Cricetulus griseus: one gene and its partners. The main gene of each other region encodes a partner of the protein of the gene in region 2 in a complex. Links are inferred from orthologs where the notes say so. Each region holds a gene or a part of one and is shown on either strand. Other genes may lie near its edges. The genes, in order: Taf11, Tbp, Taf1c, Taf8 and Gtf2h3.

Evidence for each region.
Region 1: Tbp (region 2) and Taf11 share a complex: the UniProt entries of both Homo sapiens proteins name them as parts of the TFIID basal transcription factor complex. The link is inferred for Cricetulus griseus from reciprocal best matches to the Homo sapiens genes TBP and TAF11.
Region 3: Tbp (region 2) and Taf1c share a complex: the UniProt entries of both Homo sapiens proteins name them as parts of the transcription factor SL1/TIF-IB complex. The link is inferred for Cricetulus griseus from reciprocal best matches to the Homo sapiens genes TBP and TAF1C.
Region 4: Tbp (region 2) and Taf8 share a complex: the UniProt entries of both Homo sapiens proteins name them as parts of the TFIID basal transcription factor complex. The link is inferred for Cricetulus griseus from reciprocal best matches to the Homo sapiens genes TBP and TAF8.
Region 5: Tbp (region 2) and Gtf2h3 share a complex: the UniProt entries of both Homo sapiens proteins name them as parts of the TFIID-containing RNA polymerase II pre-initiation complex. The link is inferred for Cricetulus griseus from reciprocal best matches to the Homo sapiens genes TBP and GTF2H3.

Annotation. Positions count from the first base shown.
Region 1 is NW_023276806.1:233,026,436-233,032,621, forward strand, and holds the start of Taf11 (transcription initiation factor TFIID subunit 11), read right to left. Parts: upstream 3,866-6,186; 5' UTR 3,149-3,865; coding exon 2,984-3,148; intron 812-2,983; coding exon 663-811; intron 1-662. UniProt on the Homo sapiens protein: The TFIID basal transcription factor complex plays a major role in the initiation of RNA polymerase II (Pol II)-dependent transcription.
Region 2 is NC_048595.1:294,444,430-294,449,932, reverse strand, and holds part of Tbp (TATA-box-binding protein), read right to left. Parts: intron 3,098-5,503; exon of another isoform or gene 3,093-3,097; 5' UTR 2,982-3,092; coding exon 2,928-2,981; intron 2,012-2,927; coding exon 1,641-2,011; intron 1-1,640. UniProt on the Homo sapiens protein: The TFIID basal transcription factor complex plays a major role in the initiation of RNA polymerase II (Pol II)-dependent transcription.
Region 3 is NC_048596.1:196,236,366-196,242,316, forward strand, and holds the start of Taf1c (TATA box-binding protein-associated factor RNA polymerase I subunit C), read right to left. Parts: upstream 4,025-5,951; 5' UTR 3,956-4,024; coding exon of another isoform or gene 3,917-3,955; intron 3,124-3,916; exon of another isoform or gene 3,109-3,123; 5' UTR 3,108-3,108; coding exon 2,970-3,107; intron 1,665-2,969; coding exon 1,583-1,664; intron 1,444-1,582; coding exon 1,346-1,443; intron 1,275-1,345; coding exon 1,185-1,274; intron 1,103-1,184; coding exon 1,029-1,102; intron 530-1,028; coding exon 291-529; intron 183-290; coding exon 66-182; intron 1-65. UniProt on the Homo sapiens protein: Component of the transcription factor SL1/TIF-IB complex, which is involved in the assembly of the PIC (pre-initiation complex) during RNA polymerase I-dependent transcription.
Region 4 is NW_023276806.1:256,849,667-256,855,169, forward strand, and holds part of Taf8 (transcription initiation factor TFIID subunit 8), read right to left. Parts: intron 4,688-5,503; coding exon 4,589-4,687; intron 4,081-4,588; coding exon 4,018-4,080; intron 2,509-4,017; coding exon 2,384-2,508; intron 922-2,383; coding exon 774-921; intron 147-773; coding exon 4-146; intron 1-3. UniProt on the Homo sapiens protein: The TFIID basal transcription factor complex plays a major role in the initiation of RNA polymerase II (Pol II)-dependent transcription.
Region 5 is NC_048597.1:104,285,220-104,291,271, reverse strand, and holds the start of Gtf2h3 (general transcription factor IIH subunit 3), read right to left. Parts: upstream 4,036-6,052; 5' UTR 3,916-4,035; coding exon 3,903-3,915; intron 2,032-3,902; coding exon 1,949-2,031; intron 460-1,948; coding exon 353-459; intron 258-352; coding exon 91-257; intron 1-90. Other genes in the region: Eif2b1 (translation initiation factor eIF-2B subunit alpha), read left to right, coding at 4,094-4,106, 4,796-4,897, 5,271-5,407, 5,510-5,626. UniProt on the Homo sapiens protein: Component of the general transcription and DNA repair factor IIH (TFIIH) core complex, which is involved in general and transcription-coupled nucleotide excision repair (NER) of damaged DNA and, when complexed to CAK, in RNA transcription by RNA polymerase II.

The DNA of each region.
Region 1 (6,186 bases), on a different chromosome or scaffold from region 2:
TAAAAACTACCTAGAATAGAATAGGTAAAGGGGTTGATTTGATTCACACATAGATGAGATGTAGCACAACCAGGAAACACTAATGTTTATGAGGATATTACATGCACAGACATACCCAGAAATACATTCTTAGGATAAGATTCAGCAGCTGGATTTTTTTTTTTTTTTGATATTCTGAGTTATCTGCAATGAGCCCATGTTATTGCAACCACAAAATCAAGTTTTTTTGAAGAAAATGATGATTTTGATGTATAATTACTGATGGGGAAACACTGACCAAATTAAGTTATATTTTAAACATTTTGAAACAAATAACATTTACACATTTATTTTGTGTTTATAGGAACATGCCTGTGTTTGGAGGTCACAGGACAGTTTCCAGGAACTGGCTCTGTCCTTCCACCTCCTGGGTTCCCAGGAGCAAACTCGGGTCATTAGGCTTGGAGGCAAGCACCTTTATCCTGCAGCTTGCTGGCCTGCAATTATATCCAGGCATAGTGAGTGGCTCATGCCTGTAATCTCAGCACTAAGGAGGCCGAGGCGGAGGACCAGGAGGTGAAGACTAATGTAAAGCTCATGAGACCCTGCCTCAGAGCACACAAAAAGCAGTAAGAGTGAGTGCAGAGCTGACGGGCTTAGAGATGGAACCCTTGAAGACTCACTGCATCTTTTGGATCTCATCTTCGTCTACCTTCTGCTTCTTCTCTCTCTTCTCTTTGGTGTCCAGTTTCAGCTTTTTGGCTGCAGGAGTAAGTAATGACGAGTCTTCCCTCTCAACTGCTGTTAAATCTGAGACATCCTGACTCTTGAGCTGGGAAGATGGACAGAAACTTATTACATATTTGGCACACTTTTCGGGCTTGGGTGAAGTCAGGCCCCCTCTCTCTTTCCACAGCAGCAAATCTGTTTCTACAGGAGCTGTCTGGTTCTGGGCACCATTAATTAAGAGGCTGCCGTCTGTTTCCTAAAGGAAGAATATAGCTCAACTGAAGAAGAAAAGGAATAATCCAGTTTTCTACATGAGCCATAATCACATAGAGGTCCTCCATCTGTTTACCAAGTAAGGGGAAAACACCAAGGAGCCAAATCGCCACTCCCCCACCCTCACCCTACAGGTGTCAGCAAAGTTATCCATCCAGCAGCATCTGCGTCTTGGGAGCACCACCCTGTGCTGTGTTCTGACCCTTCCTCTACTGGATCATAAGATACTACCTCTCCCATTACTAGACTAGAAACCTTTTTTTAAAATTTGGCTGTCCTCCAGGCTGACCTCCTAGAAATCCACCTACCTCTGCCTCCCAACTGTTGGGATTAAAGGCCTCTGCTGCCACTCCCAGTTTGGAAACTTTTTTTCTTTTGTAATTTAAGACATCTCATTTTGTAGCTTAGACTGGTGGTCCAACACTCCCCAGTCTCCAGATTGTGGAAATTGTCCTGCCTCAACCTCTTTGCTGGGATTGCCACCATACTGAGTTTAAATTGAAACTGAGCGATGGCTCGGAGGTTAAGAAAGAGCATTGGCTGCTCTTGCAGGAGCCAGGTTTGATGACCAGCACTCACATGACACCTCACAGTCATCTGTAACTCGTTTCAGGGGATCTGATGCCTCCTGACTTCCACAGGGACCAGGCACATACATGGCAAACATCCATACACAAAGGCAAAACATCCATACAATAACAATTTTTAAAAGCCCAAATTTAAAATTATTAGGTGCATTCATGCATACTGTGTGTAGACTTGCAAGTGTGGAGTTGGTTCTCTTGTATCTTTATGTAGGTTTCGGGGATTGAATTCCAGTTCCCAGGGTTTCGTGGCAAGCACCTTTACCTGCTGAGCCGTTTTGCCTGCCCTACTATAAAATCTGTTTGAAGATGTTTATTATTTACATTTCTCTCCAAATAAGCACTCAAAAGTTACTCCTAACAGGTGTATGTCATGACAAGCTTATTATGGAATCATAATACATCAAAACTCACTTGTGAGATTTAATGGTTCCTTTAGAAAGAGATTCATATTTAAACTCATTCAGAAATTGGGAGAGGGAGAGTGAAGGCATTATGTATTTGCCAATCCTTTCAACTTCTTTTTAGCTACTGATCTATACACATTTTCTAACCTGTGTGCCTCAAATTTTCAAATTTATTTGCCCTTAACTTTCCTCCTTTCTCCTCTTCCCCCCTCTCGATGTCTGTCTGTCTGTCTCTCTCTCTCTCTCTCTCTCTCTCTCTCTCTCTCTCTCTCTCTCTCTCTCTCTCTCTCTCTCGAGCTGGGATAGAAGCAGGTCTCATTTTGTAGCTCATTAAGCCTTGTAATGTATTTTGTCTACTTCAGCTTAAATTTTTTTCTGAAAAGGTTTTTTTATTTTTTTATTTTTTGGCGGTGGCGGTGGGGGGTTCGAGACAGGGTTTCTCTGTGTAGCTTTGGAGCCTATCCTGGAACTCACTCTGGAGACCAGGCTGGCCTCGAACTCAGAGATCCGCCTGCCTCTGTCTCCCGAGTGCTGGGACTAAAGGCGTGCGCCACCAACGCCCGGTTCTGAAAACAGTTTTGCTGCTCATCTGTGACAGGAGGGTCACAAGCTCAGGGCCAGGCCGTGTTAGGGAGACGCCCCTCATAAAGACAAAAAGCAAAATCCTATAAAGTTTTGCTACATTTTCTTCTTCCTGAAAGTTATTACGTCAGGCATTTTGAGGCAGTTACGGTTAGAAAGCCCATTTCCACCTTAGCTACTGTTCACCCCGTGATCTTTCAAAGCCAGCCCCAGCTCTCAAACTCCGACATTTTTTGCCTGCAGAAAAGGACGCTGAGGGTCGAGGAGGCAACGACGCTTGGCCTTTGGAGAGGCACAGCCGGCGGTTTTAACGAGGCCCCGGGACCCCTGGGGCTTAGCGTGCAAGGCTGGGGCTCGGTGCACCGCCCGTGCCCGTCCTCGCCCCGGCCCCGGCCCCGGCCCGCAGGGCTGCAGCAGGCGCGCGCCCACCTCGCTCTCGGCCGCCGCTCTCCGGCTCGCCTCTGCATCTCCGTCGGTCTCCTCCGGGCCCCCCTCGGGGCCGGCGGCCGCCGGGACTCCAGGAGCAGCCCTCGTCTCCTCCGACTCCGCCGGCTCTCCGCCTCTGTCCGAGGGCGACTCCGCAGGGTTGTCCATCGCGGCGGGAGGGGAGCGAGACGACCGGCCCTACCGTGGAACCCGGGCTGACGGCTTGTCGTCGCGCCTCGATGACGTCACCCACGGCGCCTCGGAGGGGTCCGTTCCAGAAGCGCGCGGCTGGCCCTGGGGAGCCACTTAGGCAGCATTTGTTGTGACGAGAAAGAAACTTAAGAGCGCGCGTCCGCAGCTTCAGGGAAGGAGCGGCTGTGGACGAGCGTACGTTCGTTGGCTGAGAGACTTGTTTCTCTCGTCCTTTATGGAAACGCCCTGCCCGTCAGTCCCTCCTCGACCTGACTCGGGGTGACAAGGCAGTGAGCCCCGGGCTTGCCGGCGTCAAAGCCGCACTGCCGCCCTGGACTGCAGAGCCCGCGGGCCGCCTGGGGTCACACGTGGCCCCTCTTCTGAGCCCGGCGCGGAAGCGGCTGCGGATTCGTCCCCGCTCGCCCGCGTACGGGGCTTCGGCTGCATGCACGCCTGCGCACGGCGCCCTGGGAGGCCAGCGGAGGGGCTACAGCGGAGCCGCCGCCGCTCCGGCCCAACTGCGGTCCTCCCGCCCGGGGGCGCCGTTCCCGCGGCTGCCTCCGGGTCTCCGCGCCTGTTCCCAAGTTCACCTACGAGTCTTGGCGCGCGCGCTACCAAGTTTCCCCTGTGTCCCGCAGCGCGGGAGCCGCACGAGCGCGCATCTCCCACCTGCGCCACGGGCGCGCGCGCTGGGCGGGGACGGCGCCGGGCGCCGTCACCTGCGCGCCGGCGCGGGGCCCCGCCCACTAGGTGGGCAAGGAGGCGGGGCCGGTGACGCGTGACGCCGGATCCCGGAAGTGACGCGCCGCGGGGAGGGGGCGGCGGCGGCGGAGGAGGCGGGGGAGAGGGGGTGGCGTCCCCGGCCGGGTTGAGGGGTGCGTTGCCCGGAGACGGAAAGTTTGGGAGCCGCCGCGGGCTCTGCGTGGCCCCGGGCGGGGGTCGGAGGAGCGGCGGCCCTGGGGATGGGGAAGGAGCAGGAGCTGCTGGAGGCGGCCCGCACCGGGCACCTCCCGGCCGTGGAGAAGCTGCTGTCCGGGAAGCGGCTCTCCTCCGGCTTCGGCGGCGGCGGCGGCTCCGGCTCCGGCGGCGGCGCGCTCCGGGGGCGGCGGCGGCCTCGGCTCCTCCAGCCACCCGCTCTCCAGTCTGCTGAGGTGAGTGTGCGCGCGCGGCGCGGCGCGGAGCGGAGCCCCGACGGCGCGGGCTCCCGCGGGAGGTGGCGGCTCTCGGCTGAGGCGCGCGCGGGCGGCCGGGCTCTGGCTCGCGCGCGCGTCGCGGCTGCGGCTGCGGCTGCGGAGAATGGGGGAGTGCCCCGGTGGCAGCCCGCGCGCGCCGCACGGCACGGCACAGCCCGGCGGCGTCACCCTCGCCCGCCCGCCCGCCCGCCGTGGGTGCCAGCTGTCGCCTCTCACAAAAGCCACTTCAGAGCAGACCGAGTTCGCGGAATCCCTCTCATATCGTGCAGGAACTCCCACGCCGCGCAGAGCCTCGCGGCACCCCCCCCCCCAGCCGGTTCGCCTCATTTCCTTCTCTCAGGAACTTGGAACGCTCCACCGGGCTGTGCGGGACCCGGCTTTTGTTTGTTTTTAAAATTGCTCCTGCATGGATCGCGCACGAGGTGCTCAGGCTTTGAGCCTCTCTGGTGCCTGAAGCTCAAATTTGACGTCAGATTCCTTGTAGTCACTCTCGATGGGCTGGCTGGTCCAAGTGGCATATGCTCACCCCCGCCCCCCCCCCCCCCCGGGACTTAACTCGGTGAGAAATCAGGGTTTGGAAAGGCTTGTTAGGAAACTGAGGTGCGTTCAACTTTCTGAGATCTGTTAGACACTTGAATCCGGGGCTGCAAGGCTTGGGGAGGGGGGGGCACTCTTTGTCGCTCACAAGGGGGATTGGAATGCTTTGTCAGAGTGTATAAAATGTGTTGGTTCAGCAGCGCTTTCGTGGCTGTTTTCTTTTCCTTCCTTGTTCTTTTGAGGTTTTTAAGAAGTGGAAGTTCATTTAGAAGTGGCTTCGTTAGCTTCTGCTCCCTGTTAGTTTATGTACCTTCAGTTTGAGTGAGCTTGGAGAGCTTGGACCGAAGAAACCCAAGGCTCTAACAATCAGTCCGGTATTCAGTACAGAGTAGCAACCTTCATCTTTTCAGGAAGACTTTACAAAGCACTCCAGAAGAACCCTGCCCTTTGGGGAAGCAAAACCCCGTTCTGTTGGCTGCAATTTCCCCTGTCCCTTGAACAATACTGGTTCATAGTAGGCACTCAAGATTTGTTGAATAGATAAAAGCACTCATTGGAAGAATGATCATTTTGTGTGTGTGCCTGATGGAGGCTAGAAGTTGATATTGGGTGTCTTCTTCAATTGCTGTCCATCTTCTTTCTTTAAGTCTGTGTCCCTCACCAAACCTGGAGTTTGCTAATTGCGCTATACTGGCTGGTCAGCAAGTCCCAGGGATTCCCCCTGCCTCTGCCTTCCCAGTACTAGGATCACCCTCACATACAGCCCTGTTGCCTTTCTGCCTTTTTTCTTTCCTTCCTCTAAACATGACTGGTAGGGTCCAAATCCAGGGGCTCCTGTTTGCTGAACAAGGTCTTTATGGCCTGACCCATCCCCTGAGGGGAGCAACCATCTCTAAATAAATCAGTGGTGGTCTTCACTGTTAGTGGTTGGTACTTGAGAGTACAGACTTCTCTTTGGGATAGGTTGGAAGTCAGAACCTCAGGGGAAGGTGTACTTAGGCTGACTTTGATCGCTCTTGTGTAGTGAGAAGGTTCCAGGTAAGCACACTGTGCTCAGAGGCACAGAAAGGAGACTTAACTGGTGCTTGTGGGTTACTCAGGGCACTTCCTGCTTGGGATCCTGAGTGTTGGGCCACTTAAAGGAAAGTAAGAACGGATGGATACACTGTTGCCTCTCATATTGACAACAGTGTTCCTCACACTTAGTTCTTAGTTCTCAGTTCCTGTGTCCGTGCCTGGAGACAGAGTCTCAGTCTATTGCTGTGATCAAACACCAGGACCAAA
Region 2 (5,503 bases):
CTGGTTCCAACAGATGATTTTAATCACAAGAACAAACCAGAATGCCCGTGGAGGTCAAAATGGCATGAAAAATTAGTTTGAAGCAGCACAGACAAAGGAGAGCTAACAGGGCTTGATGGGGTTGTCCTTCCGTGTGTATGTTCTCTTATTGGTTGATGAATTAAAAAACACTGTGTGGCTAGTGGCCAGGCTGGAAGGATAGGCGGGGCTATGAAAGGAGAATTCTGGGAAGGGTAGACAGACAGGAATCACCATGTAGCTGCTGAAATGAGAAACAGGTCTGGATATTCTCTAGTAAGTCTAGACCACGTGGAAATACTTAGATTAATAGAAATGGATAAATAATTAAGACAGAACTAGCCAATAGGAAGCCCAAGTCACTGGCCAATAGTTTTATAATTAATATAAGGTCTGTGTGTTTATTTGGAACTCAAGGGCAATCAGACAGCTGTGGAACCAGACTGGTGGGAAAGAACTTTCTGTAACAAGGGCTTGTCTCTCTAAAATATTAAAATCAAAAGTAATTTTAAAATTGCATACAGGCAAGGTATAAGTTTTTGGGTATAGTAGTCGAGGTTCATGATTATATACCACTTAGATTAAAAAATGATCTGGCAACCGGGCGTTGGTGGTGTACACCTTTAATCCCAGCACTTGGGAGGCAGAGGCAGGCAGATCTCTTGAGAGTTCAAGGCCAGCCTGGTCTCCAGAGCGAGTGCCAGGATAGGCTCCAAAGCTACACAGAGAAACCCTGTCTCGGAAAAAAAAAAAAAAAGAAAAGAAAAAGAAAAAATGATCTGGCATGGCTTACAAATGACAATTATATATGTAAAAGGAAAGTCATGTGTAAATAAGAAACATCTGAAAGTAGGAAGATCGGGTTAATAAACACAAACTGAATAGTGTGTTGTCATCTGCAATGAACCCTTTAATCAGGACATAAGCTTCCTTAAAGTAAAGCTGCATACTTCTTACTAAGGAGTATCTAGATTTGGTTGTTTCAGAAGAAAGAAAAAAGCCTGTATCTCCTACCTTTTCACACGTGGGAACTACTTCACTTAGGCAGAAAAATGTATCAAGACAAGAACTGCTATCCTCACTTTGAAAGAGAGACACAAATTCCAAAGATAAAATATAGCCCTCACAGCGAAATTGTAGAAAAATCTGGACTTAAGAACTCTGCTAACATTATGGCCAAGCCTGTGAAAACAACTGCACTGTGACTCAGCCAATTAGCTACAGGGAAATGTCCACAGTATTGATGAAACTCAGTTTTCATTTCAGTGACTCAAACACATAAACACAAGCAATTCCATTTCTAAGGAAAGGTTTTGTTGAGAGCATTGACTGTAGCTTCAATTCCTTGCCAAAAGCCGAGGAAGCTGCAGTGTAACAGAATTACCACTGGGTCACTTCCTTAAGTAAGACTGAAAGCAAATAGTGTAATACCACTGAAAGCTTCCTCTGGTGCAGAGGACAAGGAAAACACACACACACACACACACACACACACACACACACACACACACACACACACACACACACACACACACACACACACACACACACACACACACACACACACACACGTTGGGGGAGGGGAGGAGAGGGCATGAGCAAACAAGGTAAGAGGTACTCACTGCAGCTGTGGTACGATCCCAGAGCTCTCAGAGGCTGGTGTGGCAGGAGTGATAGGGGTCATAGGGGTCATTGGTGAAGGGTACAAGGGGGTGGTGCCTGGCAATGGTGCAGTGGTCAGAGTTTGAGAATGGAAGAGCTGTGGAGTCTGGCCTGAGGCACCCTGTGTGGATTGCTGAGATGTAGATTGCTGTACTGAGGCTGCTGCAGTTGCTACAGACTGCTGCTGCTGCTGCTGTTGCTGCTGCTGCTGCTGTCTTTGTTGCTCTTCCAAAATAGACAGACTATTGGTGTTCTGAATAGGTTGTGGAGTAAGTCCAGTGCCATAAGGCATCATTGGACTAAAGATGGGAATTCCAGGAGTCATGGCACCCTGTGGAAAGCAAAAAGAGAATGCTTAAGACATTAATGTTGAGTAATACAGGTTCTTTTCCTAGTGGAACCCAGGTAAAGTGTAAAACCTGATGCTTGCTGAATATAATAGGTCATTAAATATTGGGAAGAATCTGCTATCCTGAGATGCATCCCTTTTCTTCTGTAGTACTGAATATAGTAGCTGAGCACTTTAGCATCTCTAATCTGTTATTTATGATATACAAGAAAGATGCTTAGCCTCCCAAGCATATCTAGACCATAAGGACAAATCAAAGGTACATGTCCCTTTAAAGTGCTACCCAGTATATGAGGGTTACCCTCTAGCTTAACATGTGACCATTTGGATGATGGATCACAAAGTCACCTAGAGGTTCAAGATGACAAGCTCATGGTATACTCTATGATACTTCAAAGAGCTATTTATTCTACTAAAAACAAAAATCAACAAAGCCTATAAAATACTGTTAACTGCCTTTTCTATAATGCTTCTATGTCTTACAAACATTGTTAGATTTAGTAATTATTTATGTGGAAGTAGAAAGAAAAAATGGCAAAATTTATACTAAATTAGTAACAATTTAGGTTTAATTCTATTGCAAATACACACATACATTTTACATCAAAACATGTTTAATTTTGGAAAGCAGATTTGGTTGTCATCTTGGGCTAGGAAAGTGACTGCGAGAGGGTCTAGAAGGAACCTCCTGAAGCAAATGAAATAAATGTTCTACAGTTCACAAAGATGGAACAGTCTTCTAAATAAACTCCCAAGCAAAGGGGCATTATGCCTATCCACAGCATAAATTTTCACAAAGTAAAACAAGCTTGAGAAACATACAAATCCATGTCCATTACTGGATGGTTAAATTTCACCTTCTCTGTCAGCCCTTCTTGTCCCCCCTTCCTGTTGTTACCTGTGGAGAGGCCAAGCCCTGAGCATAAGGTGGAAGGCTGTTGTTCTGGTCCATGGTTCTCACTGTCTTCAGTACTCAGACTTTTCCTAGAGCATCCTCTGCAAATTCTCTTTTGAAACTCCTTTAATTTTCTGGGTTATCTTCACACACCATGAAACAGTGATGCTGTGCTTGGGGGAAAAATGCTTTAAGTTTAAATAGGTTTCATATTCACACAAAACATACACACACAAAATCTATCCTGGAGAAATATATTTATCTTTCAATCCCAAAAGCCTATTGCTTTTGACATGACTATTTGGGCAAGAAACTGCTCTTGCCTGGACTGTTTGCCTGTATACCGTATATGGTGGACATGCAGTGCCCACAGGAAAGTGACTGCTGAACTGCTGAAACAAAATGGGACAGTCCTGCAGGGTTCCTGCTTCATGGAAATGTCTGCCAATACAGAAGGACAGTTTAAAATTTCCTGTTTCACTGAGAAGTCTGTCAGACACACTATGGCCTATGGGCCGAAGATGGATGTTCCAATGTTATAGAGGAACTTTGGGTGATTGACCAGGCAGTGAGATGTCTCTGTCAATTCTAGAGTTTATATACTATCCTTCTATGGTCTTTGATGGAGTTGAAGACAAATAGTTACAGTTACTGTTTTCCTTAGTTATGATAAAAGATAAGTTACACATAAGACTTTAGACTCACAAAGATAGGATAGATAGAATATTTTCTTTAAATCTTGCTAAATGTTAATGGACTAAATATTGTAACTATAGTTCTTACTTGATAACTGTTTTGTTATATGTAATTTTACCATGTTAAGGATAAAACCCTTTTTATTTAGAAAAGAGGAGATGATGTGGTGATGTCCTTCTGTGTATATGTTTCTCTTATTGGTTGATGAATAAACCAATAAACCTGGTTAGTGGCCAGGTAGAAAGAACTTGTTTTTGGTATGGGGGAACACCTAGAGAAAACTAATTCCTAAGCAAATTGTATTATCAGAGAATACTTTCTTAAGCAGTGTTTATACAGCACTATTAGGTCAATGCTGGTTTTTAAATATTCTCAGTTTTATACCCTTCACAATGTCTCAAGCATAAAGTGCCACAAATATTGAACTGGACACAATAAGCATATTGTGTAATCATTTTTAGCATAGGTAATCATTTTTGTGTTCCAATTTTAATTAAAGACAGATTAAACAATAAATGATACATCAATTTTATAAATACAATATTTATTCTTAACTCCTTAGAACATACTAATGAAAACTATGCCTGGAACTGGGCTTCATAAATCATCATTTTAGTGGCCATATTCAATATGCATATGGAATAAGAGACTATGTAAAGTTTTTTTTTTTTTTTTTTAAATTGGTAATGGTAGTGACAGAACATAGTCTCATAAATGCTAGGCAAATGCCCATCCCCAATTCTTTAAAGACATTTGTTTTAATCAAGTCAGTTCATGCAGACCAATAACTTGCTCAGAGATGCCCTAAGGACTGAATGAATCAACAATGGATGAACAAACTGAATGAGCTATCAATCAAGATGAATCTAATTGCGGGGCAGTGGAGGCACATACTTTTAATCCCAGCACATGGGAGGCAGAGGCAGGCAGATCTGAGTTCCAGGACAGCCAGGGCTACACAGAGAAAATGTGTATATGTATGTGGGGGGGGGAGGGAGAAGGGGGGGAGCGGGAGTGGGTGAATCTATATACACATAGTTAAGTACAGGACAGATATTATTACATTTTTAAAAAAAGGTTTTCATTTTATGTGTATGAGTATTTTGTATGCATGTATATATGCACATCACATGTGTAGTGCCTGCAGAAGTTAGAAAGGGAGTATTGGATTCCCTACAACTGGAGTTTCAGATAGTTGTGAGCTACCTACCATCTAGGTGCTGGGAACCAAACCCAGGTCCTCTATAATAGCAGTAACTCCTCTTAACCACTGAGCTATCTCCCCAGCCCAACAATCAGATCTTATTCTAAACATTTATTATCATCTAAAATTTACAAGTCTTATACTCACGACCCCTGGTCATTTTAAGTATATGCTGACACAGGCCTTCTTCTGATGTTACTAAATCAATCAAAGAATTTCATAATCTCTTTGAGAGGACAGAGGACCCAAAAGATACTCCTACAAACTCATTACTGAGAAGCACTTTTTCCTTTTGTTTTTCAAGACAGGGTTTTTCTGTGTAGTCCTGGCTGTCCTGGAACTCATTTTGTAGACCAGGCTGGCCTTTGAAATCACTGAGATGCACCTTTCTCTGACTCCCAAGTGCTGGGACTAAATCTGGTGCCCTCTTCTGGCCTGCAGGGATACATGCAGACAGAACACTATACATAATAAATCTTAAAAAAAGAAGGCCGGGTGTTAGTGCTGCATGCCTTTAATCCTAGCACTCGGGAGGCAGAGGCAGATCTCTGTGAGTTTGAGAGTGAGTGCCAGGATAGGCTCCAAAGCTTACACAGAGAAACCCTGTCTCGAAAACCAAAAAAAAAAAAAAAGAGAGAGATGCCTGTTTCTGAGAGATACTAGACATACAAGAGATACT
Region 3 (5,951 bases), on a different chromosome or scaffold from region 2:
TGGGATGGTAGCCAGCTGGACAAGAAGGAAAAGGGGAAGGGAGAATGCAAGGGAAAGACTCTCACTTTCTCCCTGGACAGTGCTGGTCACCACCTGCCGTACAGGTCCCCGCAGCTGGATGTGCCCGGGGTCCTCAAGGACCCTGAGATTGCCACCTGAGTTCACACTGACCTCCTGGAAATCTGAGCCCCTGGTTAAGGACTGGGATGGATTCTTGTCACCCGTCTTAACTCTTCCCCTGGACCACTCTGTGGATGGCCTCAGGATCCCCACCACATGAGAAAGGATACTCAGCTTGTCCAAGGCACCTCCACTAGGGTAGACCAGTTGTCCAGCCCGTGCTGTCCTTCCAGGAAGCCAGGCCAAGGCACCCCCGGTGAAGGCCTCATCCAGCAGCAACTGCTCCCACCGCATAGCCAGCTCTTCATGCAGCAGCCTCCCCAAAAGCAATGACACTGAACTGCTCAGGACAGGACCCCCAAGGATGGAGAAGCGACGTAGTCGGTGGCTAAGGAAAGCCCAAGGACACCTAGGGACAATGCAGCAGAGGATGGTACTGGGACAGTGAAGGATAAGCAGTCTCTTTGACAACTCCCTAGAAAACACCCTACCCAGTTCCTGGACCCCATACCCTGAATATTTCAGGACCTCCTAGTGAGTGGGCCACAGAGAGCTGGGAGGATCCAGCCAGACCAACCAGTCTTTTCTAGGATTTGTGATACTTTGGATACTAACTCCTTGGAATAATCCTGTTGCTACTTGAATTAAGTCAGACAGAAGGAAGTGGATGAGAAAAGAGAGCCCTGTAAACATTCTGAAAACCTGGATGAGCTGTAACTAAGATCAACCAATGACCGATTCTTTTTTCCCTTAAGCTGCTTGAAGCTGGGTTTTGTGGACTCGTGGCTCATGACTTTGGGCTGGGTTAGAAAAGCCACTGTGATGAAAACCTGGTCTGTGTCCTAGATCCTTCTACATCCCACCACCAGCCAGGCCTATCCATGGCTGCTTTCTCACTGGCTACTTGCCCCCAGGGCTGGTGTCCACCGAGGTCCTGAAGCAGCCTCTTCGCGCTGACTATGGTCATCTTTTTCGAGTAGCCCTGCAGGGAAGGTCTGTCAGGTTTGCACCCCTGGGTCTCACCAGAGAGGTGGCTGACCCTTCACCCCATGGCACTTACTCACCTTGTTCCCCTCCAATCTGAAGTTCTCCAGCATGAGCCTCCCCAGGGGTGTGAAGGCTATGTCCCCATGGTCCCACAGGAAGCGGCTGAGCTGTGGGGAATGGTTGTGTCACTCAGCACAGCCCAGGCTGTGCAGCACAATCCCACCCAGGGACCACTTACCTGCTCAGTGACATCCAGCCCAACCTGAGGCCGGAACTGGTAGCGGTGACCTCCCCGGAAAAGGAGGTCCCGAGGGGTCATGCCAGGTTCCCAGGGATCTAAGGGGAGAGAGAGGTCAAAGAAGAACCTGAGAAGGCAGCATGGAAACACAGTGATATATGGAGGTATCCAGGATCTGGAATGTATGTGTGTCTGATGGCTGAGGTCCTTGGAGGGAACCCAGAAGGAGACCCTTACCAGGACCAGGAGGCAGCAGGGGGAGGGGTCCTGGTGTTGTTGGCTCCCACAGCAGGTTCTTGGCCAATGGCAATGTCCCATCCTAGGGGAACAGGACAGCAATAACATGGCAGGGGTGCACTCTTTGACTAAAACTCATTCAGTCCTCATGACAGCTCTGCAAAGTTGGTCACTTCACTGATGTAGAAACTGAAGCAGCCGGGTGGTGGTGGCGTACGCCTTTAATCCCAGCACTGGGGGGGGGGCGGGGGCAAAGGCAGTCGGATCTCTGAGTTTGAGACCAGCCTGGTCTACAAGAGCTAACAAGTTCCAGGCCAGGCTCCAAAGCCACAGAAAAACTCTGCCTTGGAACCCCCCGCAAAAAGAAAGAAACTGAAGCATAAGTTTGCTGTCATTTGCCCCAGGTAAGAGTCAGGAAAGAAGGCAGGGACTTAAACCCAGGCAGCCAACTCCAGAATCTGTATCCTAAAGTCCATTCACACCAGCTTCCACACCCATGCCTTGTCTGTGCACCCAGAACCCAATGAGCTAACTCAAGGTCCAAGAACACCCCCTCCTTCAACACCCCCTCTTTGACCCACTCTCCTGTATGTTGATAAGGGCGGTCCTTCTGTGTATATGTTTGTCTTATTGGTTGGTAAATAAAACACAATTGGCCAATAGGAAAGCAAGATAGGCAGGACTAGGAGAGGAGGAGGATTCTGGAAAAGAGGAGTCGCCATGTGATCCCCCAGGAAGAGAGGACAAGCATAAGGCCGGCATCCTTGGTAAGATATGTCCTTATAAAAATAGAGATTGGTAGTTATGGTTGATAATTAAGACTGAGCTAGCAGATAAGAAATCCCAGTCATTGGCTAGCAGCATTGTAACTAATATAAGACTCTGTGTGTTATTTGGGGGCCCTAAAAGGCAGCAGAACTCAGGCAGCTGGTGGAAAGAGATATCGTTACAGTATGTACTCAATTCCACAAGGCAGCTGGGCAGCTAACGAAGTCCCAACCAAGATGCCAGCAGAAATCCTGCCCCCTTTCCCTGCCATTCCACTGTTCCAGTAGAACCAAGGCCACACTACACAGTGTCTGCCTGTTGGTACAAACTCTCCCACCTTAACTGGCAGTCCCCAAGGTGGGGTTGCCTAACTTCCTCATGCTGGACTATTGGGCCTGTAAGGACCCTGGCACAGAAACACTAGTCAGTAAATACCAGCTGAATCTAGGGAGAGAAGGAGGAAAGAGGAGCCACAGCCTCTGTTGATCGACTCTCTCTGGGTAGCAGCGTGGCCTGTGCACAGCAGGAGTAGCATCTGCCTAGCCCTGTCTATCATCTGTGCCACTGAGTCTTAATGATAAGAGGGGGACCAAAGGAAGTGCCCTATTTCCATCCTCACCTTGCAGTTCTGTGGCTGGGACCCTGGCATGGTCAGTGCATCTCTCCAGCTGCACATGAAGGACAGGTCAGGACCATCAGTCATGCCAAGAGGCCCAGCCATAAATAACGAGGGGCGCAGAGAGCTGGGGAAGTCCATCCTGGAGAAAATGCATCTAATGTCACACACATCTTCATTAGGAGTCTGAACAGTGCTACAAAGTCTACTACAAAGAAACAGGTAAAAACCAGACTATGCAGCCTAATGCCAGAGAGTAAGAAGGGCCTCTAGAGAACTGCTCACTCCCCCATCACAGGGGAGGTTGCTGATGGGCAGGTGAGGGGTCCCTACGGGTACTCAGGGAGACAGATAGCTCAGCACACATTTGGGTAGAGGGTCCAGGGGGAATGAGTGCGTGCAAAGGCTCTGAGGATCGAATAAAAGTAGGAACTCTCTAGAACAGCGGTTTTCAACCCTCTAGCACAAGGGCCACCTAAGACCATCGGAAAACACAGATATTTACATTATCATTCATAACAGGCTAAATTACAGTTATGAAGTAGCAACGAAAACAATTTTATTGTTGGAGGTCACTACAACTGTATTAAAGGGTCGCAGGCAACATTAGAGAGGCTAAGAACCACTGCTCTAGAAGCATTAGGGAGTAATCAGCCCACAGTTTAGAAAATTTAAATTGAACAACAGCACCCGCTGAGCACTACCACCAGCTGGATGCGGCATAAAGGTCCTGAATTTGAGGATCTGAGGAATCGGTGTGTGGTTAACTTGCTCACATGTGTGCCAGAGGGGAGACCCGGTCCCGAGACCGCCCGCCCTCATTGCAAGCGTCCCAGACCAGCCTCAGTGCTGGAACCCGCCTGCCCCTGGTTTCTGTAGCCTCGCGGCACCGCCACGTGCTCACATCATCCCCGCGCGCAGACCATGCTGGCTCCCGGCGGCAGTCTCACCTGATCCGGGGCCCAAAAAGGAGCCGGAGCGCCACTCATCAACTCTTCAGCTCAGAACTCGTGAGCATCCACAGCCGGACTGAACTGTTTTCCGGACCAGGCCGGAAGTGCTCCCGAGAAACAGGAAATCCCGCCCTCAGCAAGGCCTCACTGCGTTCTCCGGCGCTACCTGCCGGGCAGACAAGGAATAGGCGTGGTCGTGGCGCCTGAGGCGTGGAATTCCCATCCCGGTGTTGGATGATCCTGCTCTGCTTCATTAACTAACTATCTCACCGACCACCTCCGATGGGCCACGCACTGTATTTATTGTCCATAAATCCTAGGAATCCGCTTTTCATATGACCCTGGGCTCATGCGTGGCTTAAATCAGGGGCCAGGAAGGAGTATTAGGCTGTAGTCTTCAAACTCCAGCTTGCACCTGCGTGCTTTGGGAGACTTTCAAACTCAGAAGCAGCGAGTCGTGGGGGCTGCCTGCAAGTTGCTTTTGTCTTGTGCCTTTCACGTGAAACTTAGGATGTGTGGTTCTGCGGACCCACTAGGAAGCTAAGAATGTCTTCAGACAGATTTTTTTTTTTTTTTTTTTTGTGGTGCACACCTTTAATCCCAGCACTCAGGATACAGAGGCAGGTGGATCTTTGAGTTTGAGGCAAGCCTAGTCTACAGAGTGAGTTCCAGGACAGCCAAGGTTACACAGAGAAACCCTATGGGGGGGTGGGGGGGAGAAAGAAAAGAAACACAGGTTGTCCCGGGTGGTGGTGGTGCACGCCTTTAAACCAGCACTAGGGAGGCAGACAGGTGGATCTCTGTGAGTTCAAAGCTAGCCTGGTCTGCCCAGCAATAGCCAAAGTTGTATGGTGAGAACCTTGTCTCAAAAGAGAGGGAGGGAGGAAGGAAGGAAGGAAGAAAAAGAAAGAAAGAAAGACAGATCCTTATGTAACTTCAAGGTGAAGAACTTGGGGTCACAGAGAAAAACTTTCTTCCTATCAACACCTGGGAACTCAGAGCAAGAGTGGGTCCAATGCTAGCAGGGGAGGAATGAGCCTATTCACACCAGGGAGACAGAGGTCTAAGACCTGCATAGCTGAGACCCTACCTGAAAACTTCAGATAGAATTTTGAGACCTAAAATAGATGCTCCTGCTTCGCTATAACCTACCTACATGATGTTCCCTCCAATGTATTTGAAAACTGTTTTTGGGTTATGATTTCCTTTGTTCTGGAACTAGCAAAACTTCGCTAATCTGTCTCCTCCATGTAGCAGATTATCCAGGGAACTCTAAATCTGTGTTTCTGGGTGTTAGTCAGGGTTCTCTATCAGAACAGATGGATGAATATAGAATAGAGATTTTATTAGACTGGCTTACAGCTGTGATCTGGGTAGTCCAACAATAGCTGTCCATGACCCAAAAGGTGATGTTCAGTACATGAGGCTGGATGTCTTAGCAGTCCCTGTCTGGTGCTAGAGTCCTGTATGATTCCTGAAGAGCTATTGACTGTCTTTGTTAAAATTATAAAGAAGTTGGTTCGAATTTTGGTAAAGGAATGCTTCAGCAATGGCATAAATAAATAAATGGTCTTGCCAGAAAGAGTAAGGGCAAGTAGGAAAAAAAAAATCAAAGTTTTTTCACACCCTTTTAACTGGACTACCACCAGAAGGTGTGGCCCAGATTTAGGGTGGGTCTTCCTTCTTCAAATAATTAAGAAAATCCCTCACAGGGGCCCAGCAGTTTAGGTCCCAATTAATTCCAAATGTTCAGTTGACAATCAATTTAGCCATCCTGTGTGGGCATGCTCATTCATGTTTAGCTGAAGAGTAAACTATCTTCTATTCTCTAATCATAGAGAGGAGGGCTGTTCTTAAGTCAACATATTTCTCATTCCCAGGCAATACAGGATTTCCCTGCATGTGACTTTAGCACCACTGTCCAGTCAGAAATAGCAACATTATTCTTGTGGCTTGATAGCTTAAGAATACACCAGCGCCGCCTGGAGGAGGCATGTTAAAGCAGTTTGCCTGGCCCACTTGAGCTTCTAAT
Region 4 (5,503 bases), on a different chromosome or scaffold from region 2:
CACCGTGCTGATATGAAGAGCGATGTTCTCTGTGTCTGTCTGCTCATCCTGTTCTGAGGAGTCTGTCTCTTCCATCTGCTGGATCTCCAGCTCAGAGGGAAGCAAGGCTGTGAGGTAGGGGATGGTGAAAGGTCTGGCAGCAATCACTGGGAATTGGAAGAGAGACACGACTCTGTCGAGCAGCCAGAGGGAGCCAGGTATGAATGTTGCCCAGTTACCATAACCTCAAGCTAGATAATTTCCCTTTCCCACAAGCCTCTGTGTGGCAAAGCTAAGGACTGCTAACTTACAGGTCTGGATGGCTGCCTGAGGTGATGTGTGGGGAATGGCTAGCAGGCACCGAGTGGACACTCACTAAGTGAACAGACCAAGCTCCCCCATTCAACTCTGCATAACCCAAGGTCCCCTATGGAGACGAGTGACTTGGTCAACAAAGCCTAAATGAGATGTAGCCTAGAAAAGGACACTGGTAAGCAACTGGCTACAGATGCCAGCGTTCCTCCTACTACCTGGGTCACCACTTCCACAGGAGACTTTGCTGCCCAGGGCTCAGCCACCAGTGAGGTAACCTAAACTCACTGCCTTGAGCAGCCTTTCCATTTGGAGTCATCCTTTAGGAAGAGTCTCTCAGAGCTTGGAGGAAGGATCTAGAGAAGAAACTGCACTAGAGAAAAACACAAAGGCTTACTCATGTCTCCCCACCACACTGAGAGAAAGCAAAGATGGTGAGATTATCTCAAACAAAACAGGGTTCCCAGGGGGGTGACTCTCACAGGGGAAAGTGCTGACATCATCCTTGAAAAGACTCTGGGTCTCGCCTGTCTTGGCCATGAAACGGGTGAGGGCTCGCTCCACATCTCGCCTCTGAGATGCAGCCTTCTCTCGCAGGACCTGGTAGTCAGACACTGGTTCACGGTATGTCTGGAACAACAGAGACACCAGGCTGAGCCCATGCTGCATTCAGCTCTCCTCAGGCCCTGCCTTGCTGCAGCTATGTCCTGAGAACATGACCTGCTGACTAAGGTTACATGAGGAACAGCATACAAAAGAAAGAGCTCATTTCAGTACAGGAATACTCATTAAGAAAAGTGCGGCCAGGCGTTGGTGACGCACGCCTTTAATCCCAGCACTCGGGAGGCAGAGGTAGGTGGATCTCTGTGAGTTCGAGACCAGCCTGGTCTACAAGAGCTAGTTCCAGGACAGCCTCCAAAGCCACAGAGAAACCCTGTCTCGGGAAAAAAAAAAAGTGCAAATATTTACTACATAGTTGACTATGGCAGCCAGCCTGTGAGTTTGAGGCCAGCCTGGTCTACAAAGCTACACAGAGAAATCCTGTCTCAAAAACAAAAGAATTACAGAATACCATCTTGTTAGCCCATGCCCTTAATCTCAACACCTGAGAGGCAGAGGTAGGAGATCTCAGTGAGGTCAAAGCCAGTCTGGTCTAAAAAGGGAAGGAGGGAGGAAGAGGGGGGAGGGGTAATGATACATACTTGTAATCCCAGCACTTCAGAGGTAGAGGCAGGAGGACCTGAAGCCTGAAGTCATCTTTTTAACTACATACTGAGCTGGAGGCCAACCTGAGCTGTCTACGACTCTGTCTCAAAAAACACCAGTAAAAGAAGCTTCTTACATTATTTTTATTGTCAGGATTTAACATACCATATAAGAGGTATGAATACTATGAATTGATCTGTATTCCCATAAAAAAATGTTTAGATATAGTAAGCTAACTACTGGCATCTCATATGACTTTATTTGTCAACAGAGTCACCAAGATGTCATTGATTAGGAAGAGTCATGAAGTAAGGACAATGGTGTCCTTATGGGAAGACAAAATATTTAATCTGTAGAGGTGGAAAGCCAGCACCACGTGGAGGGGACAGGAAGATTGGAGCGACACATCTATAAACCAAGAAATGCTGGAGAAATGTTGACACACTAAGGCAAGGTGAACACGATTCCCTTACAGGCTTTACAGGGAATATGGCCCTGATAACACCTTGATTTTCAACTTTTGGCCCCCAGGCCTATAAAGTAATACACTTCTATTGCTCTAAGTCAGCTACTTTGTAGCACCTTATCATAGCAACCCCAGGACACTTTGAGGGACTGAAGTCCAGGGCAACTGTATCAATTCCTTCCCTGAGTCCTGTCTCTCTTAGAGACAGCATCTCACTCTGTAGCCCAGGCTGGCCTCACACTCATGGCCACCCTTCTGCCTCAGCCTTCCAAGTGGTGGGATTACAGGACTGAGCCATCATTCCCTATAACAAGATTGCTGCTCTCTAGGGAAAGTCAGAGAACTGAAAGCACTTTCATCTGCAACCTTTCCTCAGCTGGTTTACATCACTCACAGCCCCTGGGTGGCTCCACCACTCACTGGAGTTTTGATGTAGGTGTGGGGATCCGGAAACTCAGGAAAATGGCTGGGGATGTGTGGTGGGTGGGGCCGGTTCTGCCCCGCAGTGAGGGCCTTGGGTGTCACTGGCTGATTAGTCACTGGAGCTGCAACAGAATCACAACTGGTTACTTGTTCAACCCCTGAAGTCTACAGACAATAGTCCTTCTTCAGCCCCACCCCTATCTTCCCACTACACCATGACTCAGCACCTTGTATTTCTATTGATAAAAAGCCATCCATAACCTCTTCAGATCAGCATACAATGCCCGGCCTTGTCAGGTCATCTTGCTTGATATTTCAATCTGTGACATCTGCCTGTAAGCCCCTTGCATCAACAGGAGAGTGGCTGTCACCAAAGTCACTACATAGTTGAACATGCTGAAGTACAATACTCGCATTCAACGGGCTGTTAGTCTTCTTCCCAGAGAGTGAGGACACTAGGAGCAGTGTTTGGTGTAGTCTATGCTTGGCATGCACAAGGCCCTGGGGTCCAATCCCCAGCACACACACGCTGCTCAGAGACCCCAAATAACAAACACTGAGCTGGGGGAAGTGTGGGCTTAACAATTGTGGAGGGGAAGGAAGATGGCACCTTCCACTGCTTCTCTCCAATGCAGGTGGCCAGATGGTTCAGTGGGAAAAGACTTGCCACCAAGCCAATCTGCAGGACCCACATGGTGGAGGGAGACAGCTTCCACCAACTTTTCCTCTAGATGGCCACATGCACACCATGGCATGTGCGTGCACACACATAATAAACAGATTTAATATCTAACATGATGCCAATGCAAAAAAGTGACTTTAAGAAACAAATACAGTGGGGCTGGAGAGATGGCTCAGTGGTTAAGAGCACTGACTGCTCTTCCAGAGGTCCTGAGTTCAATTCCCAGCAACCACATGGTGGCTCACAACCATCTGTTATGAGATCTGGTGCCTCTTCTGGTGTGCAGATATACATGGAAGCAGAATGTTGTATACATAATAAATAAATAAAATTTTAAAAAAGAAAGAAAGAAAGAAACACAGCAGTACCCCCAAGTCCTAAAGACTAAAGCAGTTACTCCTTACTTTAAGGGACCTAGTTATCCTAAAGAGTAAACTTTTTACATAAGGGGATACATGATACATATTTTAGACTTTTGTTTGCTTGTTTCTTAGTCATAGTCCTGCCTATGTATCCCACAAGTGCTAGGATTACAAGAGTAGCCAGTAAGCAGTGGCAGTTCAGATTATGCAAGCCACAAAACCCTGCCTTTATAACATGAAAGCAATCACAGACAAATAAATACAACTGCATGCCAATAAAATTATATTTACAAAAGCAAGCATTGGACTACATTTACCAACCCTGATCTAAAGGAGCAAGAACTTTCATAGTCTTCCTGTATCGTTGCTTGCTTTTCAGGGTTAAAGTACAAGGGCAGTGGTTCAGAGTAGCTTAGAATCCTCCTGTCCAGATAAAACCAGGCTGTGGGTAGCTAACCCACCCCAAAGACTGGAAGGGAGCTTGCAAAGAGCCAACAGCTGCCACTCTGATGCCTGCCCTATTCTCCAACCGAGTCCCACCATAATCACTGTATACTTACTAAGTCCCTGGGTTCAAAGCCACTTACGTGCAGTGATGACCATTCTCTGAGACCGTTTAGCATATGCAGGAAGAGTGTCCACATTGAACCCTAGGGACAAGAAAGCCAATCACTGCGTAGGTCATTGGATACTGAACATGAAAAGCGAAGTTAACAGTGTGAAAAGGGCTGGGCATTGGTGGCGCATGCCTTTAATCCCAGCACTCAGGAGGCAGAGGCAGGAGGATCTCTGTGAGTTCGAAGTCAGCCAGGTCTATAGAGCAAGTTCCAGAACAGGCACCAAAGCAATACAGAGAAACCATGTCTGGGGAGGGGGGGAGAAAAAAGGAAAAGAAAAAGTGAGAAAAGGGGGCTTAAACTCCCAACTGAGCCACTATTCTGCCTCTCAAAAGAAGATCCAGCAGAGCTCCCCAAAAAGGACTCAGGGGGTCTCCAAGATGGGCTCAAAGGATTCTTTCCTCTTAACTTTCTAAACTAAAAGCAAATCAAGGAAAACACGAAGGAATCCATGAGCACTCAGCAGACACCCCAACCCCCAGGCCTCCCTCCCTGCCTAGGGATCCTAACTCAGAGCACTGGATGCTGGAGATGCACTCACCCATTTCAACCAGCGTGACCACGATATCCGACAATGTGGGCTGGGTCCTGGCTGTGTGCTCGCAGTAAGACTTGGCACTTCTCCCGATTTCCGAGATGTCTACAAGAGTCAAAGGCCACGGTTCCTCCAAATTCAATATAGGATTACCAGGTGAGCCAGCAGTTTTGCTCTACATATATAGCTAATGACTAAAGTCAGGGCTCAAACAGGCACTTGTGCACCTCACACACAGCAGCCCAAATTCACAACAATCAGAAAGTGGGAAAGAAACTGACAAATGGACGAATAAACCAACTGGGGTATACACATAAAATGGAGCATTTTCTTTCTTTCTTTCTTTATTGGTTTTTTGAGACAGGGTTTCTCTGTATAGCTTTGGAGCCTATCCTGGCACTCTCTCTGGAGATCTCTCTCTGGAGACCAGGCTGGCCTCGAACTCAGAGATCCGCCTGCCTCTGCCTCTCGAGTGCTGGGATTAAAGGCGTGCACCACCAATGCCCAGCTTCTTTGTTTATTTTTAGACAGGTTCTCAAACTCTATATGTAGCAGAAACTAAATTTGAACTCCTGATATTGCTGCCTCCACCTCCTAAGGGCTAGGATTACAGGTGTGCCCACCCTATCCAACTCTACAATGGAGTAAGTAGTCAGTCTTCAAAAGGAATGACATTCTTCAAAAGGAATGGAATCTATAACATGGATAAACTTTGAAACATTATATTAATGAGATAAGCCAGGCACAAATGATAAATATTTTCAGATTCCATTTATCTGAAGTACAGAGAAAAAGCAAAGCCAAAGTCAGTGATTTAGGTCAATGGTAAGGTACTTCCTACCAATGACCTGAGTTCCATCCCTGGGACTCATATGGTGGAAGGCACACACTGATTCCCACAAGTTATCCTATGACCTCCAT
Region 5 (6,052 bases), on a different chromosome or scaffold from region 2:
CAAAACAGTTAATATAAAAACCTTACATTTTAAAAACATACAGCAATTACCACTACAGGGAGATGACAGTGACAATAGCCAGGCTCTTACTCTTGGTCATCAGATCTTTGATCTCCTCGGCGATCACATCATTTGCTGCTGTCAACAGCTCATATTTGCCATCTTTACTCCCAGAGGGATTACAGTCAGGAAAGGGGTTGCCAGGGTCTCCGAAGAAGTCTCCAAGTCTGCCGTTCTTCCCCGGGTATAAGAAGCGACTGACAGGGTAGAAAAACCAGAATGTATTATACACATGTATGAAACTGTCAAAGACCTAGAAAGCAGCCTCCCACAGCAGAGCACTGGCTCCTACCTTTCCTGAATGTGACTGGCTATCACAGCCAGCTGGTTGGAGCGGTGCATGAACAGATGGGAATTTGCCAGCACCATCACAGCATCCATGCACTTGGATAAAGTAAACTGACAAACACGAGAAAAACAAGTCAGCTCCTGCAGAAAACGTCACTGAAAAACCAATTATTTATTACTTAGTTTTATTTACTTATATACTGTGGTGTGTTTAAGAAAGGGTCTTCCCCTGGGTGCCCTGATGCTCACTGAATAGCAACAAATGTCCAACAATTCATCTGTCTCTATCTCCCCATGTCACGACATGTATCACTGTGTTCGGATAGTCCTGACATCAGACACAATGATTCAACACTAAAAATTTCCTCAGCTTCACCTCTCCTAAAACCTGGAGCACAACGCCTGAGGGGAGGCGTTCTGACTTTAATGACACAAATCATTTATAGGTTAGAACATTATTTTTCAAATACTGGCATTACATGTAATGCCAGTAACCTAGGAAACCTTGAACTTAGGAGACAGAGGCAACTGGACCAGAAGTTCAAGGTCATCCTCAGGCTGTACAGCATGCTAAGGCCAGCCTGAGTTTCTGCATTGAAAAAAAAATAATAAAAGCACAATCAAGCCAGGAGGTGCGCACACCTTTAATCCCAGCACTCGGGAGGCAGAGGCAGTCGGATCTCTGTGAGTTCAAGACCAGTCTGATCTACAAGAGCAAGTTCCAAGACAGCCTCCAAAGCCACAGAGAAACCAAAAAAAGCACAGTTTTGTTTGTTTTAATACATAAACCGTGTTTCATCAAAATTTAAAACTTGGGTCAATGAGATGGCTCAGCAAATATAAGAACTTTGATGCCTGGGACCCACTTGGTGAGAAGAGCGAACTAACTCGAGACCTCTACAAGCACCCAAATATCCATACATATACACAAAAAATAAATGTAAAAAAAAAAAAAAAAAAAAAAAAAAAAAAAAAAAAAAAAAAAGACCTTGTCCAAAGACAAGGTCTGATGGGTTACCTCAATGGTTAAAGGCACTTCCCACAAGTCTGATGACCCAAGTTCAAGCCCCAGAGCCCACATGATTAAAGCAAAGAACAGACACCCAAAAGTTGTTCACTGACCCCCATATAAGTGCTGTGGCACACCGTAACCCCCACCCCATGTAAATATATAACAAAAGATGCCCACTCATACAATAGATATATCAACTGCTTAGAGAAGCAAAATAGCCAGGAGGCAACCAATGGCTGCCTGAACATGTAGGATGGAAGCAGGAATGATGGTCCACAGGTTTGAGAACTTCATGTGTGTCCTGAGAAGGAACTGTGGGGGCTGGTTATACAACTCCCTGGTCTGTACAGTACAACTGGTGGCTTTTACACACCCACAGCTTTCCTTTCTTGAGAGTGTATCCAGCAGCCCAGATGGCCAGAGATGAGCTTGACCTCCGGTGATCTGCCTGCCTCCACTTGAGTGCTAGGACTGGACGAGGGCCTCCACACCCAGCTTGTAAACACTCAATACTGCTTGCAGGGTAGTGGGTGGCATACAGACATACTGAAGTTAAGGAGAATCATTGGAAGGCTCAAGCCATCTTACCTGAGATCCCTTTAATGCTTGCTTTCCCCACCAAATCGGGTTGGTGTCAACTATGATAACCAGAAGATTCAACTCATCTTCTGCTAACAGGAACAAGAGCAACATTTTAAAATGTCAGCCTCATGAAACTGAAATACAGATAACATTCCTGAGGGTCAATCAATCACCCAGAGGCCTTCAAATGGTTATCATCCTCTGATGGATCATGAGCTCACCGAAAGGGCCAAGTTCCCTTAAAGGTTAAGGGCTGAGGACACAGCTAAATGATAGTGTGCTTGCCCTCTACTGGGGAAGTCCTTGGTTTGATAGCTGGTACCTCTTTAAAAAAAAAATAGGGCCTGGCGGTGGTGGCACTCTTGAGGCAAAGGCAGGTGGATCTCTGTGAGTCCAAGACCAGCCTGGTCTACAAGAGCTAGTTCCAGGACAGCTAGGGCTGTTACACAGAGAAACTTTGTCTCAAAAAACAAAAAACTGTTCAGACTGGCCTTGAACTTGGTAACCTCCTACCTCTTTAAGTATCTGGGATTACAGGCATCTGGCACCACACCCAGCCAAGAGCATACACTTCCAAAGGACAAAGCAATCCTGCCAGTGCCTGTTATCACGAAAAGCCTGGGTGCTCATGTAATAGCACAAGGCAGTGTTCACTTTACTGCCTCCTACCTTCCTTCCTGCATCCCCTGCTCCTTCTTAAGAATCACCCTGCACCTCTGGTTTCTGCAGAACTAAATCCTACTTGCTCTTACTTCCTTTCTAGTACCAAGTAGCTTGAGAAAGAAAACAATGGGTTGCCTGTCAGAAACGTGCACATGAAACACCTCTGCCAATTTCCTTCAGCCTGTGCCTCATTGGCTAAGAAGCCATGGCAGGCCTGCCTTTCTCACAGAGGTGGGAGTAACAGCTATGGTTGCTGAATGCACCTCTCTAATTACTCTTGCCCCCCACAATCCATTCTTCACACAGGAGTCAAAGTGATGCTTCTAATGTTATCCATCTAGATAATTCTGGGCCAGCGAGAGGGCTCAGCTGGTAAAGGCGACTGCTGACAAGCCTGAATGAGTTCAATCCCTGAGACCTAAACAATCAATAAGAGAACTATTCCCACAAGTTGTCCTCTGATTTCCATGAGCATGCTCGAGTGCACACACACACACTAATACTAAATCAGTAAATGCAAGAATCATTGGGAGGAAATGTAATTTAAAAGCTGTAACTAGTAGCTTAGAGTATGAATAAGAGCCTCCCACCTCCCTCTATCCTCCAACTGCCCAGTTTACTCTTCTAGGTTTAACCTCCCAGGATGTCTGTACTTTAAATGAACTTCATAATGTCGCTCAAGCCACAGTTGTAGTGTCTCCATCTTTCCTGAACTCCTAACGAAAGATAGTCCTCTTGAACTTAGTTGCCACACATCTGTCTTCATAGCCCTGGTGGCCTCTTGGAAGTAATTTCACCTGCCAATTGCCTCTCTCGACCCTAAGACACTACACACTCAAAACTTTCCTGTGTTGAGTTCTGTGCTGTAGTCTCCAGTTTGGAAAATAGTGTCCAGTACACAGGGGGCAATCCCATTATTCGCTGAATGACACACTGGGCATGCTAATGCGGGCCTGTAATCCCAGAACTCGGAAGGCTAAGGCAGGTTGAGCGAGCGTCTATATAAAAAATAATTAGGGCTGGGGATGTGGCTCAATTGGTAGAATGCCCATTGAGAATGCACAAAGGTCTGAGCACCACGTAAAATCGAGCTTGATCGGGCACGCCTGTAATTCCCTGCACTCCAAAGCAGACTGGAGGATCAAGAGTTCAAGGCCATCCTTCAGCGAGTTCTACGTGACACCCTGTCTCAAAAATGAAATCGCTGAGTGAATGGACGAATACACTGGCTGCTCGTCTAAAGACCAAACGCGTCCCTCCCAGCCATGCTCCGCGTTCCGGTCCGTGCCACCCTCACCGTCAGCAGCCATGGCGCCCCTAAGCCTCGGAGAAAAGCCGCCCACGGTTCGACGCGCGCACGACAACTTCCGGCGCTGGTGAGTGACGTAAGCCTCAAGCTGGCGGCAACGGAAATGATGCGTGAAGAGCGCGACACACTGTCAACCTGTGGCTTGCTGCCGGCGCGGTTGCGGGCTGCGGGAGGGAGCGATGGAGGACCACGGTGAGTGGGTGGCCGGAGCGGCGGGGACACACGGGTAGTCCGGGCTCGATCCGCTTCCTGCTGTCACTGCTCTTTGTGCCGTGGTCTGGGCCTCTCGGACGCTCGCAAACTGACTTCCCCACACGCTGTCCGAGCGTCCACTTCCAAAGTAACAGTGTGCAGGCCTCCGCAGCTCTGGTGTCCAGAAGGAAGACGCGTTTCCCTACTGGAAGATAGAAGGCATCTTTGGTTTGCTTGCCCATCATGGTTCTCAGAATGTTTTTGTTAAGTGAAAAAGCAAACGAATACACTGATTTTAACGAAAAAGTGAAGTAGGTAGAACTGTAAGCATTTTTACAATTGTGTTTATGCACATGAGTTAACGATTGTAGACTGCTCAAAGGCCTGCAGGAGAAAATAATAACGGGGCTGTGAGGATTCCCTAGACTACTAGCCCCTGGACTTGGTCTCTAAGTTCTCTGCCTTGCACACCAATAGCTTGTTTAAAATATGAAAGAGGTCTGTCCCTGCCAACAGTACGGAATCTTCTCTATCCCCGTCATTGTTTAATGTGCCCTGTAACTTTAAAAGCTACTTTAAAAAAAAAAACCTTTTTGCTTCTTATTCTTGAGGTCAGCAGTTGTTACAAAGTGCCCTAGCCTCATCTTGCTAAGTTCTTGTGATAACCCATTTTTTTCCTCTCTTCCTAGAGTTAATTGAATACTTCAAGTCTCAGATGAAAGGCGATCCTAACATGGCCTCAGCTGTAGCTGCCATCCGCACTTTGCTGGAGTTCTTGAAGAGAGACAAAGGTATAAAGAGTCAGCCTTGAATGGTCTGGGCCTTAGGACAGTCTTCAGATGACTTGTAGGAACGTGGACAGGGAGACATGCATGTTTGCCTACAGTCTCAAGCTCAGCTTCTGTCTCCATGTTCGCCCTTTCAGTCTGGAGGGAGCCCTCAGGCTGTCACTTAAAGGATTCCCATCCACCTACAAAATACACTGGGAGTCAAGAGTCAACAATACAGCCCTAGCCAAAAGGCTTAAATTATAGCAGTAATTTAGCTTTATAGATGAGAACCAAGCTCCTAGCTTGACCTAGATTCTGTGCAAATGCCATAGAGAATGTTCAGAACAATTCTGGTGTTTCTGGGCTATAGTGGTGCCTCACTTCATCATTGCAGGGGAGACACTCCAGGGCCTGAGAGCGAATCTCACCAGTGCCATAGAAACCCTATGTAGTGTGGACTCCTCCGTGGCCGTGTCGTCTGGTGGAGAGCTCTTCCTTCGATTCATCAGTCTTACCTCCCTGGAGTACTCTGTAAGCCCCCCCCCCCCCCCGGAGGCCCTTCTACTTCTCTGTCTACAGATCCTGTCAGCTTTCCTGGGATCTCCCCCCTTCATTTTGCTCTTTTCTCCCCAGGATTACTCCAAATGTAAGAAGATCATGATTGAGAGAGGGGAGCTTTTCCTCAGGAGAATATCCTTGTCAAGGAACAAAATTGCGGACCTATGCCATACCTTCATCAAAGATGGGGCGGTGAGTAGATGGCCCCCTTGTGCTGATAGAATCAAAAGCTTTGGAGTCAGGGTGCTGGGCCTGAAATCCTGACTGTGCCACCATGGACAAGACACTTCTCTGTCCTGCAGTTTTCTTGTCTGTTAATAAGGACAACAGCAGCTGACAGGTTTGGTGAGGCACAAATGAGATGCAAAGTGTAGGCAGTGCTCTGTAAACACAGGTACTATAGAGGCCAGTTACCATGAATAGGAGAAGAACATGGGACCAACATAGATGAGTCTTGAGTTTAATTTTTTTTCCGTTTTGTGGAGGTGGAGATGAAAACAAGGGCCTCAAGCATGCTAGACATGCTGTACCACTGGACTATAACCATAGCTTCTTCCTTAGTAAGCTATTTTTCTAAGAAGTATTTTTAATTACATTTATTTCTTTATTAGGTGTTTG